Anolis sagrei: one gene and its partner. The main gene of each other region encodes a partner of the protein of the gene in region 2 in a complex. Links are inferred from orthologs where the notes say so. Each region holds a gene or a part of one and is shown on either strand. Other genes may lie near its edges.

Region 1 (7,510 bases), on a different chromosome or scaffold from region 2:
GGATCCTGTCGCCCTTTATATATTGTTGGATTGCTATTCCCATTTGTCCTAGCCAGCAAGGAAATTATAAGGAATGCTGAAAGCTGCAGTCCAACAACTATAAAGAAACTGGGTTGCTGTGAGTTTTCCAGGCTGTGTGGCCATGTTCCAGAAGCATTTTCTCCTGGAGAGAATGCTTCTGGAACATGGCCATACAGTCCAGAAAACTCATACCAACCCAGTGATTCCAGCCATTAAAACTTTTGACAACAAACTATTAAAAAAACATACTTTCCCACCCCTTGCTTATGGGATATTGCTGTCTTGGCCAGTGTACTGCTTTATAATCACACAAAACAATGGATAAAAGAAGCATCACAAACACTTTTTTGCTTTTTTGCTGCTAACATTTGATAAGCTGTATCAGGAAATCATGAGATGTTATTCCACACTGTCATATCCTTGAATGATAACCATGTAAACTTATGCAATCAACGCTGTCATCACACTGTTGCAACACACAGAACATGGGGGAAATCATGGCAGAAGTCATAACCAGTTATGTGAATATTGTAATACAGATTGTATTGGCTTCTGTTGAGTTTCCAAATAACACATAAAAAGAATGCTGGTTTTCCCACACAAAACCAATCACACTTTGTGCTTCCATTTTGGACTGGCTAATACCGTAGCAGCTCTATAATATTCCAATAATAATAATAATAATAATAATAATAATAATGGCTGCCATGACAGCTACTCTATAATTTATACTGTATTAAAATACAGTATTATTATACATGCTAATAAAGGCTTATTGGATTGGAGAGCTGGTTAACTATTTACTGCAAAGGTGTTTCATGTCATTTCACTGTACACAATATTTGGGATAAGGTTTGAATGGAATTTAGGGATTGGATATATGTTGCTGTAACAACAAACAAGGAAGCGACTGTTTGCCTGAATTCTAACTGCTAAGCCTCACCTTTGCCCACTAAATCAATAACTGATGAATGCATCAACACATATGTAAATCTCTGAGATTCAAAGGATCTATGTATTGTCGAAAGCTTTCATGGCCGGAATCACTGGGTTGTTGTAGGTTTTTCCGGGATATATGGCCATGTTCTGGAGGCAATTTCTCTCCTGACGTTTCGCTTGCATCATAGATGCAGGCGAAACGTCAGGAGAAAAATTGCCTCCAGAACATGGCCATATAGCCCGGAAAAACCTACAACAACCCATTCAAAGGATCTACTTTAGTTGAATTTAGTGCCCTTCCACACAGCCATATATCCCAGAATATTGAGGCAGAAAATCCCACAGTATCTGCTTTGAACTGAGTTATCTGAATCCACACTCAAATAATGTAGGATTTGCAGTCTTGATATTCTGGGATATAGGGCTGTGTGGAAGGACCCTCAGATAATCAAGTTCAAAGCAGACATTGTGGGATATAATGTGTTCTTGATGGATTTCATGGATTTCACTGGGTTGGTGTGAGTTTTCCAAGCTGTATGGTCATGTTCCAGAAGCGTTCTCTCCTGACGTTTTGCCCACATCTATGGCAGGCATCCTCAGAGGTTGTGAGGTTTGTTGGAAACTAGGCAATAATAATAATAAACTTTATTTATACCCTGCCACCATCTCCCCAATGGGGACTCGGAGCGGCTAGCATGGGGCCAAGCAAGTGAGGTTTATATATCTGTGAATGTCTAAGGTGGGAGAAAGAACTCTTGTCTGTTTGAGGCAAGTGTGAATGTTGCAACTGGCCACCTTGATTAGCATTTCATGGCCTTGCAGCTTCAAAATCTGGTTGGTTGATGCCTGGGGGATCCTTTGGTGAGATTTTCTGCCTTGATATTCTGGGTTTTATGGCTGCATGGAAGAGCCCAAAAAGAGGCTGAGTAGCCATCTGTCAGTGCTTTGACTGCATCTTCCTGCATGGCAGAATGGGATTGAACTGAATGGCCCTTGGGAGTCTCTTTTAGTCTTTTTATGATTGATGTTCAACCTGTATTATAGTACAGTCTTGCTTATCCTACATAAATGGGCCAGCAGAATGTTGGATAAGGGGAAATGTATGATAATAAGGAGGGATTAAGGAAAAACTTATTAATTACATTATGATTTTACAAACTAAGCGCCAAATCATCATGTTTTACAACAAATGGACAGAAAAAGCAGTTCAATACATGGTAATGTGATGTAGTAATTATTGTATTTACGAATTTAGCACCAAAACGTCGCACTGTATAGAAACAGCTGTGGATCCAGGAAGGAGGCGAACTGCGTTGGACAATATAGAACGTTGGATGAGCGAAAGTTGGATAAGCAAGACTCTACTGTACTTCCCTCAATCAAGACCTATGGAAGCAGCCAAATTAAAAGCAACCCTTTTAATTAGAAATCGTGAAAGAATGCAAACTTCCCAGATTGTCATGGATCTCGGGTGCTCCTTCTCTGAAGATATGGGGTGCATCTGCACCATAGAATTAATGCAGTTTGACACTCCTTTGTCTTTTAGTATCTGTCCACGGAATTCTGCTCAGTGTTTCCTTCATTTTTCGGAAATCAGCTCTCCTAAAGTCCAAAATGGGGGTTTGACTTGTCTTAGTTTTGGGCATGTTTAGCCTGAAGAAGAGAAGGCTGAGAGGAGATATGATAGCCATGTATAAATATGTGAGAGGAAGTCACAGGGAGGAGGGAGGAAGCTTGTGAGAGCCGTTCAGCAGTGGAACTCTCTGCCCCGGAGTGTGGTGGAGGCTCCTTCTTTGGAGGTGTTTAAACAGAGGCTAGATGGCCATCTGTCAGAGGTGCTTTGAATGCAATATTCCTGCTTCTTGGCAAGGGAGTGGATTGGATGGCCCATGAGGTCTCTTCCAACTCTATGATTCTATGACACCACTTTAAGGGCCATGGCTCAATGCTAGCTGTGGAATCATGGAGATGTAGTTTTGGGGGGAGGCACCGGTGTTCTTTGGCAAAGGAAGCTACAGACCTTATAAAACTACAACTCCCATTATTCCATAGCACTGAGCTATGGCAGTTAAAGGGGTGTCCAACAGCATTAATGAACCGATGGTCTCCAGAATCATAGAATCATTGAGTTGGAAGAGACCTCGTGGGCCATCCAGTCCAACCCCCTGCCAAGAAGCAGGAAAATCACATTCAAAGCACCCCTGATAGATAGCCATCCAGCGTCTGTTTAAAAGCCTTCAAAGAAGGAGCCTCCACCACACTCTGGAGCAGAGAGTTCCACTGCTGAACAGCTCTCACTGTCAGGAAATTCTTTCTAATGTTCAGGTGGAATCTTCTTTCTTGTAGTTTGAAGCCATTGTTCTGCATCCTAGTCACCAGGGCAGCTCTTCCTCCCTATGGCTTCCTCTCACATATTTATACATGGCTATCATGTCTCCTCTCAGCCTTCTCTTCTTCAGGCTAAACATGCCCAGCTCTTTAAGCCACTCCTCTTAGGGCTTGTTCTCCAGACCCTTGATCATTTTAGTCGCCCTAATCTGGACACATTCCAACTTAGATTCAACAATGTGGTGGCCAGAATTGGACACAGGATTCCAGGTGTGGTTTAACCAAGGCAGAATAGAGGGGGTGGCATGACTTCCCTGGATCTAGACACTATAGAAAGGAGGGAAAGAGTGGGATACATAGTATGCCTGCTGCAATGGAAGCAAGACGCCTTTAACCCCTTGGCAACCTTCCCCTCTCATTCACCCCCTTGGTGCCTTCCTCTGGTTACAAACCTCCCTTCTTTCCCGGGCGCCCCGCCTGAGAAGTCCTGCCTGGATCCGCAGCTGCATCCCCTTCAAGCCTCTGCTGTCATGTGACTGGAGACTTTCTCTTCCCTTTTCCTGTCCCTCACTTCCGCTTTGGAGCAGGGGAACTTCCGGTGAGAGAGGGCCAGGCCTTGGGAGGGAGGGAGGAGCCACGTGGTTCAGTTCAGTGTCTCCCAAGCGTCAATTAGGCTTATGATCACCTGTAGAGAGGTTGGTTGCATGATTGTCTTAAGCGTGGGGTCTTTCCAGGTGTTTGGACTTCAGCTCCCAGAATTCTCCATCGTTGGTGAAAGCATCTGAGGCTTCTGGGAAATGAAGTCCAATAAAAGGATTGGCCGCCTAGAGCAGTGTTTCTCAATCCTCGCCAAGGTCGCCAAGGACCATCAGAAGTGTGGGAAGTTTGGCCCAATTCTTTCTTTGGTGAAGTTCAGAATGCTATTTGATTGTAGGTGAACTATAAATCCCAGCAACTCCAACTCCCAAATTTCAAGGTCTATTTTCCCCAAATTACACCAATGTTCACATCTGGGCATATTGAGTATGCATGCCAAGTTTGCTCCAGATCCATCATTGTGTGAGTCCACAGTGCTCCCTGGATGTAGGTGAACTACAACTCCCAAACTCAAGGTCAGTGTCCACCAGACCCTTCCAGTATTTTTCTATGTGCCAAGATTGGGTCAATTCCGTCGTTGGTGGAGTTCAGAATGCTATTTGATTGTAGGTGAACTATAAATCCCAGCATCTACAACTCCCAAATGTCAAGGTCTATTTCCCCCCAACTCCACCAATGTTCACACTTGGGCATATTGAATATTCATGCCAAGTTTGCTCCAGATCCAAACAGCCGGTAGGGGTCATGCTGTTCGGAATTGTGGGAGTTGAAGTCCAAAACACCTGGAGGGCCCAAGTGTGGCCATTCCTGGTGTAGATGGACTCAAGCTGGAGAGTCCAGGCAGTTCCTTGCCTACCAAGAAGCTCCACTGGATCCAAATTCCTTGCAGCAGTAGAAGAGACTTTTTGATTAGTAGAGCAGAAAGAATAGATCAAACTCATGAAGAGTGGTAATTAAAATTGTGACTATTCACAAACACATATTGTAGTTGAAAAAGATGAACCACAACAGGAATGCAAATAAACTCTTTGTAAATTGTCTCCTTTTTTTATATTCAAGTACCTGTGACAGAACTAGAGAATCAGATAAAAATGTTTTATTCACACCGAAAATAATTTTATTTTGATACAAGTCTGATATTACATTAGGTAAATTACAAATTAGATTTTTAAAAATCTAACATTACATCTACAGTTAAATAACATATATTTTTGTTAAGATGCCAGTCTCAATTTCATAGAATTTCAATTGCAGGGTGTCTGTTATAAACTGGCAAAGCATGATTCACAAATAGATCTCTCATCCTATCAGCCCTTCCAAAACTAACACTGAAGCCCTTTCCAGTTTCTAGAGCTGTCATGAGACACACATGACAGTTCAATTCCTAAGCACTTGCTTAAAAATAACTCTTATTATTGCCAATGTCAAGTTATGCTTGTAGAGTCTGACATGTTTCATGCAATCCCAAGAAATTAGTAGTCACTATCAGAAAGTCATCCATTGACAGCAATTGTTCTGAAAACATCATTTGTCTGTAGGGCATTGATAATTTTTTTTTTTTACAATTTATTAAGTGCAGGAATGATTCTGTTTATTTTAATGTACTTGGGAATCACATTGCACATGGACATTCCTTTCTTGTAAAAACTAGAAAGTCTTCCTTCACAGTGCAGACAGTTTTGGAATATATCTTATTGAGAAAACATAGGCTAAACATCAAGAACTGCACCAATCATTTCAGTCTAATGGATCAGCTTCTCCATCAACTATATTCAGTAAGATGAAACTCTGTTATGTTTCCACAAAACCCCATCAAAGACCATTAAAGTTTTTAAATTGTGGGCCACTAATGGATTTTAAAAATGTTTATTAAATAATGACAAGGTGGCTTTCTTGTCTCATAGGAAACTAATTTCCAAAGTCAACTTGTTCTTACAGATTCAAAGAATCCCACCTCAAAACGTAAAAGCTCAATGAATTGTCAAAGGCTTTCATTTTCATGGCCGGAATCACTGGGTTGTTGTGAGTTTTCCGGGCTGTATGGCCATGTTCCAGAAGCATTCTCTCCTGATGTTTCGCCTGTATTTATGGCAGGCATCCTCAGAGGTTGTGAGGTCTGTTGGAAATTAGGAAAATGGGGTTTATATATCCGTGGAATGTCCAGGGTGGGAGAAAGAACTCTTGTCTGTTTGAGGTAGGTGAAACTTTCAATTGGCTACCTTAATTAACATTTAATGGCCTAGCGGTTTCAAGGTCTGGCTTCTTACTGCCTGGAGGAATCCTTTGTTGTGAATTAAAACATTCACACCTACTTCAAACAGACAAGAATTCTTTCTCCCACTCTGGACATTTCACAGATATATAAACCCCATTTTCCTAGTTTCAAACAGACCTCACAACCTCTGAGGATGCCTGCCATAGATGCAGGCAAAACGTCAGGACAGAATGCTTCTGGAACATATCCATACAGCCCGGAAAACTCACAACTCGGCACAAAAGCTCCTTTGAAGATGTAAACTTCTTGTGAAACTTTTTAATAGTAGAGCCCTTTTTGGATCATTGGAGGATAACATACACATAGAAACAAAAGCATTTTGAGGGGTTGCAACCTGTGGCAGGTCCCTGGGAAACAAAATTACCCTCTATTGACAAATGTATTTGGTGGGAAACACTGAACACAGTACATGATTACTTGGAGCTAATAAAAAGGTCATCTTTAAATCATTAATGCTGCCCACATTAACATATTTCAGATCCATGTAAGTTCTACAATTTTGAAAGCTACCATAAATTCATGTGTTCTATAGAACTTGAAAGCCAAAAGGGATTTCATCTCCACTTGTGATTCACCCTGCTGGACACTTCTTTCTCTGCAATGTATGAAGTCTCGCAGTAACACTTCAGCCCCTAAATCCACTGTGAAGTGACTGAACCAGAAAACAGACACAAACCGAACTGGAAGTGGTTAGGAGTCCCACGTCAGTTTTTAAAACCTCCAGTTGAGCAGGGAGATGGGAGGACAAGCAAAGCTCTGGTTCCTGGATGCTTGCACGAGTGAAAATACTGGTATATTCTATCTTTTTTATGAGGTATTGGGGTGAGTGCAAATAATAATAATAATAATAATAATAATAATAATAATAAAACCTGGGGGCTCAAAAGGCTCCCTGGGCCTACTGGAAAAGAAAGTTAAGTAACTATTACTTGTGATATTGCATATAACATTTTATGTAAATTTAAATTAATTTTAAAGTGAATTTTGCAAATTACACAATCCTGTAATCCACAAAATAAACTAAAATCATGGAATTTGAATATAGTTGCTGAGTGATGTAGAGCACAGGAAATCTGCTTTGCAGATGATTGTAGGTGTTTAAAGAATCTTATATACAAATTATTCAGTATTGCTTTGGGTTGGAGCCATAATTGGGCCGAGGAAGTGATGAATGAGAATAAGAACAATTGATCTGCTCAATTATTGAATCTGCTTTTAAAAAACATTTTAAACATTCTTTACCCAACTGAGGTTACCTGTGCAACTCACAGCCTTCCCGTTCTGTGGTTCTTTTCCCTCTGAAACACATTTCAGATATACATTACAAAAAGTTTATACAAAAACAGTTGT
Region 2 (7,510 bases):
AGAGTTGTATTGGACGTGGAGTTCTTTCCATTGCTCTTGCCATGACTAAAACTTGGTCTAAATCAAACTAATACTCCCAAGCTGTTGTCTGCCATTTCAACTTATGGTGACCCCATGAAGGAGAGAGACCTTTATGAGTCGCCCTAACTCATGTCTGCAAAATCAGGGCTTTGGCTTCCTTCTATAATGTGATCTTCCTCTTGTCCTTCTACCTTCCACTTTCCCCAACATTAGCCTCCTTTCTCATGAATCATATCATCTTATAATATGTTCAAAGTAAAACAACCTCCATTTAGTCACTTTGACTTCTAGAAGAGTTCAGCCTTGGTCAGCACTCTAGGGTGCATCTATACCAGGTATGGGCCAACTTGGGCCCTCCAGGTGTTTTGGACTTCTACTCCCATTCCTAACAGCTCCAGACCCTTTCCTTTCCCCCCTCAGCCACTTAAGCAAGAAAGGGAAAAGGGAAAGGAAAAAGGAAGGGGTCTGAGGCTGTTAGGAATTGTGGGAGTTGAAGTCCAAAACATCTGGAGGGTCAAAGTTTGCTAATGACTACTGTAGAATGAATGCAGTTGGACACTACTTTAAACATGCATCAATGCTATGAGATCCTGTGAATTGTTATTTGGGAAGGTATCAGCACTCTTTGGCAGAGAAGGTTAATGGCTCTATGAAACGACGACTCCTGTGATTCCATAGCATCCAGCCATGCTACTTAAAGTGGTGTCAAACTGAATTACTTCTACATAAATAGTAGTGTCAAACTGCATAAATAGGAGTATAGTGTCTAGATCCTGGGAAGTCATGCTACCCCTCTATTCTGCCTTAGTTAGACCACATCTGGAATACTGTCTCCAATTCCAGGCACAATTGAAGGGAGATGTTGACAAGCTGGAATGTGTCCAGAGGAGGACGACTAAAATGATCAAAGGTCTGGAGAACAAGCCCTATGAGGAGTGGCTTAAAGAGCTGGGCATGGTTAGCCTGAAAAAGAGAGGGCTGAGAGGAGACATGATGGCCATTTATAAATGAGGGGAAGTCATAGGGAGCAGGGAGCAAGCTTGTTTTCTGCTTTCCTGGAGACTAGGACATGGAACAATGGCTTCAAACTACAGAAAAGGAGATTCCACCTGAACAATAAAAAGAACTTCCTGACTGTGAGAGCTGTTCAGCAGTGGAACTCTCTGCCCCGGGGTGTGGTGGAGGCTCCTTCTTTGGAGGCTTTTAAACAGAGGCTGGGTGGCCATCTGTGGGGGGTGCTTTGAATGCAATTTTCCTGCTATTTGGCAGGGGGTTGGACTGGATGGCCCATGAGGCCTCTTCCAACTCTATGATTCTATGATACAGTGAAGAGGCAGCCTTGATCAGAAATCTAATCCCAAACATTATTGAACCAGCAAGAACTTCTAAAAGCCACACTTCTAACTTTAAGCAGCTGGATTTAGGCCTCCATCTTCAGGACAAAATTATACCAACAGTACACAAAAGAGATATACACACATTGTAAGATGATCATTTCGAGAGTTCAAGAAGACTCTCACTAGTCACATTTCTGTTGATGTTGTTGTTACAACAGCAAGATAAAGGGAGAGCCAGAAAAGCCCAGCCAGGCAAGGTTCCTCTGTTGTGGAAGGATCCTGACTGATTTCTCTGGTAACCCTACACTCCTCATCCGCTGTCAAGCAAGAGGCAGCGGCCCAAGTTGCAGATTTAAGGTGGCTCTGGCCAGGCACACTGCCATCCTCTTCCCCTTCCAAGGAAAGCGGCCAAGGGAAATGTCAACCTTCATTTCAATTTTTTATAAACACAGAGAGAGAGGTCCAAATCACTGCCCGGATCACCCCAACCCTTTCTGCAGAAAAGGAAAGTCATGGCTGGCAAAAGAGAAGGAAAAGACTACTCCACCCCTTCTTCCCAACTCAGCAGCAAGGGGTACATCATCTAACAATGCAATCTGACAACAGGTTAATGGCTACTAGCTTTGCTAGTTTAGCCTTCTCTGACAAAGGGAGAAACCAGAAAGGCCATCTGACAAAGAAACCCTCCAGACAGCCCTCTAACCCAGAATATCAAGGCAGAAAATCCTACAATATCTGCTTTGAGCTGGGTTAACTGAGTCCACACTGCCATAGGCAGAAAATGTGGGATTTTATTCAGCTGTGTGGAAGGGTCTAAGGGTAGCGACGCCTCACCAAACCAGAAAGCAGTCAAACTGCATCCATTCTACAGTGTGCATGCACACAAACAAGGAAAGTTTGCAAAAGGAGAGAAAGAGAGGAAGAGGGAGGAGAGTGAAAGAGAAAAGAGGAAGAGTTCAAAAATCGGCCAAAAGGAGGAAAATGGCTCGATTTTGTCTCTTTCACAGTAATGAAGAAATTTCTCTACTGCTCTCCAGCCCTGAATGTCCACGTTTCAAAGGGAGCTGAACAATTTTAGAGTTGAAGGGAGGAAGGAAAGCAAGGCTGTATGGCTGGACTGAGAAAGTGAAAGAGGCAGGAAGGAGCAACGTTGCAGGAAGGGGGAAGCCAGGGGAAGTGAGCCTTAGAGTTATTAGGGCTGGGTTGTTGTGAGTTTCCAGGCTGTATGGCCATGTTCCAGCAGCATTCTCTCCTGACGTCTCACCTGCATCTATGGCAGGCATCCTCAGATGTCGTGAGGTCTGCTGGAAACTAGGAAAATGGGGTTTATATATCTGTGGAGTATCCAGGGTGGGAGAAAGAACTTTTGTCTTGTTATTAGGGGTCTTCCTCCTGGCGATTTCCACTTGAGATCCTCTACAGTGGTTCTCAACCTGGGGTCCCCAGATGTTTTTGGCCTACAACTCCCAGAAATCCTAACAGCTGGTAAACTAGCTGGGATTTCTGGGAGTTGTAGGCCAAACACATCTGGGGACCCCGGGTTGAGAGCCACTGCTCTAGAAGTTGGAAAGGGAGGGAGCTGCACCTACACTGTAGGATTAATGCAGTTTGGGCACCACTTTGGACTGCCACAGCTCAGTGCTGAGAGTGGTGGCTTTCCTCACAAGGTCTTATAAAAATATAATACACCCCAAGGAGTCCACAGGATGAAGCCAAGTGGTGCCAAACTAGGTTAATTCCACAGTGTAGATGCACCCAGTGAAGGGCAATACTCAGAACTGGGGAGGTTGTGAATGATACTATAGATACATGGAATGTATAGAGCAGGCATCCTCAAACTGTGGCCCTCCAGCTGCTTGGGGCTCCATCTCCCAGAAGCCCTAACAAGCTTGTTCAGTTGTCAGGAATTCTGGGAGTTGAAGTCCCAAACAGCTGGAGGGCTGCAGTTTGAGGATGCCTGGTATAGAGTATACCTAGTACAGTTGTTCTCAACCTGTTGGGCCCCTGATGTTTTGGCCTTCAACTCCCAGAAACCCTCACAGCTAGTAAACTGGCTGGGACTTCTGGGAGTTGTAGGCCAAAACACCTGGGGACCCACAGGTTGAGGACCACTGAATGTATTCATAGAGTATCAGGCTGTTAGGAATTGTGGAAGCTGAAGTTCAAAACATCTGGAGCTCAGCTTGCCCATGCCTGTGCCACAGTATTGCAAATGAAGCACACACACACAAAAAGTGGGTTGCTTAAGTTTTTCAGGCTGTATGGCCATGTTCCGGAAGCATTCTCTCCTGACGTTTCGCCTGCCTCTATGGCAGGCATCCTCAGACGTTGCGAGGTCTCACAACTTCTGAGGACGCCTGCCATAGATGCGGGTGAAACGTCAGGAGAGAATGCTTCTGGGGCATGGCCATACAGCCCAGGAAACTCTCAGCTACCCAGTGATTCCGGCCACGAAAGCTTTCGACAATGCAAAAAGAAGTTCTGCGATGTGGGAGCCCTCCTGGCCCTTCCTGCATTGTGTTTACTGAGGAGGCCAAGAAGAAAGAGAGTAAGCGGGGTGGGGGGGGGGGGCAAGGTGGGAAGCCCCTCTCCTGGGGGTCCCTCCCTCCCTCCCTTCCTCTTTTCCCTACCTGAGGACGCACTCCTCCTTGGGTTCCTTGGCGGGCGAAGGCGAGGCGCTGCTCCTCTTGTTGAAAAGCTTCTGCAACAGGGTGGGCGTGGGGGGCATGGTGGGCGCAAGCAGGAGGAGGAGGAGGGTCCCTCGCCTGCCTCCCAGCAGCAGCAGCAAAGGCAGCTAGTTCCGCCAAGGCGAGTCCATTCGGCCCGCCTTGTCTCCCTCGCCGCCTCTCTCTCCCTGTGTGTGTGTATGTGTGTGTGTGTAAGGCGCCCGCCCGCCCGCGCGTGTGACAGTCATATGACAAAAATTAATCACTCGGAGAAGCCCCGGCGAGGGAAGGAGAGGGGCGGGGCTCGGGGAGGGCTTCCCCGCCGCGGATTGGCCGAGGAGGCCTGCTCACGTGGCACAGGGGCGGGGCTTGGCGCGGCTCAGAGGCAGGGTGTGTTTTGGGGCCAGAAAGGAAGGCAACGAGGAGAAGGAAGAAGAGGAAGAAGGGGGAGATCTCTCCCGCCAAATTTGGCCCCAATCCACCGCCCCCTTCCAAGCACACTCTCAAGCAAGGAGGGGGTTGGCTCGCAAAAACAAAAGGAAACATCCTCAATCGTCGTTTGTGTTTTGCTTTTTTTCAAAACTGATTTCTCCCCCTCCTCCCTCGCCTTGATTAAAGAGCTGCAGCTCCAGAGCTCGATAAGGGATGCAACTGGTTGTCCTATCTTCGCTGCCATATCATGCAGTTTGGAACTGCATCATGTGGTCAGTGTAGACCCAATGGTTTTAACCACATAATCACTCTAGAGAATGAACCCACTTTAAATCCAGTTTCTGCCTCCTGCAGAATCCTGGGATTTGTAGCTTAGTGAGGCTGTGAAAGGCCCCTCACTAAACTACAAACCCCAGAATTCTGCAGGAGGCAGAAACCAGATTTAAAGTGGGTTCATTCTCTAGCGTGATGAAGCATTGATTTTAAGTTCATAGTCACATGAACTGATTTTAAGTTCATAGTCACATGTAATAATAATAATAAAAACTTTACACCCCGCCACCATCTCCCCAAGGGGACTCAGGGCGGCTTACGTGAGACCAAGCCCAACAACACATCAGTAAAAGCAAAGCAGCAAACAATAAAACAGTACAATTAATATAACTCACATATAAGCAATAACACAAAATTTAAAACCTTATGTAGCGGGGGGGGGGGGGGGTTGAGGGGCTTCAGTCCCCCCCCCCCCCCCCCCCCCGAAATTCTCAGGGTGATCCACGAGAAGGCCTTACTGGTACGTGGCACGGTGGCGTCCTTGTCCACACCTGGGCCATCAGCGCACTCTCTTTCCTTTGATTTCAGCCTTCGGTGCCGGGAGAGGAAGGGGAGTGCGCCGGCACTATCCTCAATATATCTCATATGCATGGGGGTGTTGGGATAACGATATAAAAGGTTGGCTAGAGTAGATTCTCTCTCACTCAGACTAAGCCCCCACCCACCCCCCAAAACATTTTTCCCACATCTATGGCAGGCATCCTCAGAGGCCTCACAACCTGAACATTCACAGTAATCAATATTGCATCTACTTTGGAGAATCTGTTTCCTTAGCTGCTCCTTTGAGTTAGTACTTTCAGTTCTTACAACAAAAGTGAGGGACACACTTTGTTTTGTTCAAACTCAGCTATTGTACTATTGTGTAGAATAAAGTAAAGGATCCAAATAAGTATTGTCGAAGGATCCAAAAAAGTGTTCTCCTTTTTTCATTAAGAATCCAGAATAACCCACAAGACTGTCAAAATTCTAGCTTCTGCTTGTGATTATGACAACATCCAGAAAGAATCAGGAGAGAAATGTTAATAGGTTTCTGTGAATTTTCCAGGCTGTATGGTTGTGTTCCAGAAGCATTATCTTCTGACGTTTCACCCACATCTATGACAGGCACCCTCAGAGGTTGTGTGGTCTGTTGGAAAGTCGGCCTAATTTCTAACAAACTTCATGATCTCTGAGGATGCCTGCCATAGATGTGGGCAAAACGTCAGGAGATAATGCTTCTGGAACACAGCCATACAGACCAGAAAATTCTCAGCAGCCCAATAATTCCGACCATGAAAGCCTTCGACAACACAGAAATGATGATGTTTGTGAAAGCCCATGCTTATAATTCTATCACGTTCAACAGATGGCACCAAATAAAATCCTGGAAACCGTGCTATGTATACTCAAGTATAAATTTATACACTTTTGTAATAAAAAAATATAAAAAAACAGCCCCCACAAAACTGGGCTGACTTCTCCATAGGTCAATGTACCGTAAGTAACTCATAAAAAAAAGGAACCACCTCCCTCTCTGCGTAGAATAGCCAAAGAAGAGAGATTAGTCCATCCCAAAAGAACTTAAAACAATGTTTCCCAACCTTTGGTCCTCCAGGTGTTTTGGACTTAAGCTCCCACAATTCCTAATAGCTGGGATTTCTGAAAGTTGAAGTCCAAAACACCTGGAGGACTAAAGGTTGGGAACCACTGACCTAAAAGCAGCACCCATCTTTCTACTCTCACGGCCATGGCACCACTTCTGGCCTTTTTCCTGCCTGGATTCCCAAAGGGCAGTGGTGGTTTGGAATGAGGTGACAGTGGTGCTTTCTGTCTCCTTGGTTTGACCCACAAATTATCCACAGGTCATATCAAAATCAACCCATACATTGTAGCCTGACGGCAAGAGGATCATAAAAGCAGCATCATTCTCATCATATCTGCACACAAATGGAGAAGAAGTTGTAATTTCAAATCATATGTATAGCAGGGGTTGGGAATTTCAGGCTCGGGAGCCAAACCTACACCTCCTGGAGTCCTCATTTGGCCTTCACATTTTCCCCATCCGACTGGACTCCAATTGTGCGAGGAGGTATAATGGAATGGAGTTTCCTAGAGGATATGAACTGGAACACAGACTAAGAGCAACATTTTCTGGCATCTCCCACTTCTACCTTTTCCTGCCATTTGTTTCAGTACATACTGTTCTAGAATATAAGAGCCAAGAAGGCCCCAGCCTTACAGTCCCTTTGCAGAATGAGAGCTCTACACAGCAAGCCATGTGGAAGTGGCCAGCATTGCAAGGCCTCCTATCATCATCCCTGTCCTGCTCTCCGGGGAGTGCTATTATGGGGAAGAGTTGAAGCATGTGCTCTTTCTGGCAGAGGGAGCAGTCCTGCTGCAATGTTCCCACACCTCAAAGTTAACAGGAGAGTATCTGTAACCATTTCATCAGTGCTGCATGAAAGCCACCAATCCTCAGCTCACTATCATTGAAATAGGAGAAACATAATACTTAGCTGTTTGAAAAAGTCATTGTATGGATTATTGAGTGAATGTATGGGTGTTTTTGTCTCTCAGAGGGGAAAAAAAAGTTGCTGTTTTTGTTACTTACAGAATCCTTTTCTGCCACCTCATCACAGCATGGAACTGAAGCTGGGCTCTTAAAGCGTTTACTGCCAAAACACAAGATCTGGCAGCTTTATCAAGTTGGTAAAGCTTTGAGTACAGCCTGGTGGTAGACTG

Evidence for each region.
Region 1: FNIP1 (region 2) and LAMTOR3 share a complex: the UniProt entries of both Homo sapiens proteins name them as parts of the lysosomal folliculin complex. The link is inferred for Anolis sagrei from reciprocal best matches to the Homo sapiens genes FNIP1 and LAMTOR3.

Annotation. Positions count from the first base shown.
Region 1 is NC_090025.1:26,544,853-26,552,362, forward strand, and holds the start of LAMTOR3 (ragulator complex protein LAMTOR3), read right to left. Parts: upstream 3,855-7,510; 5' UTR 3,741-3,854; intron 1-3,740. UniProt on the Homo sapiens protein: As part of the Ragulator complex it is involved in amino acid sensing and activation of mTORC1, a signaling complex promoting cell growth in response to growth factors, energy levels, and amino acids.
Region 2 is NC_090022.1:93,981,665-93,989,174, forward strand, and holds the start of FNIP1 (folliculin-interacting protein 1), read right to left. Parts: upstream 4,278-7,510; 5' UTR 4,087-4,277; coding exon 3,989-4,086; intron 1-3,988. UniProt on the Homo sapiens protein: Binding partner of the GTPase-activating protein FLCN: involved in the cellular response to amino acid availability by regulating the non-canonical mTORC1 signaling cascade controlling the MiT/TFE factors TFEB and TFE3.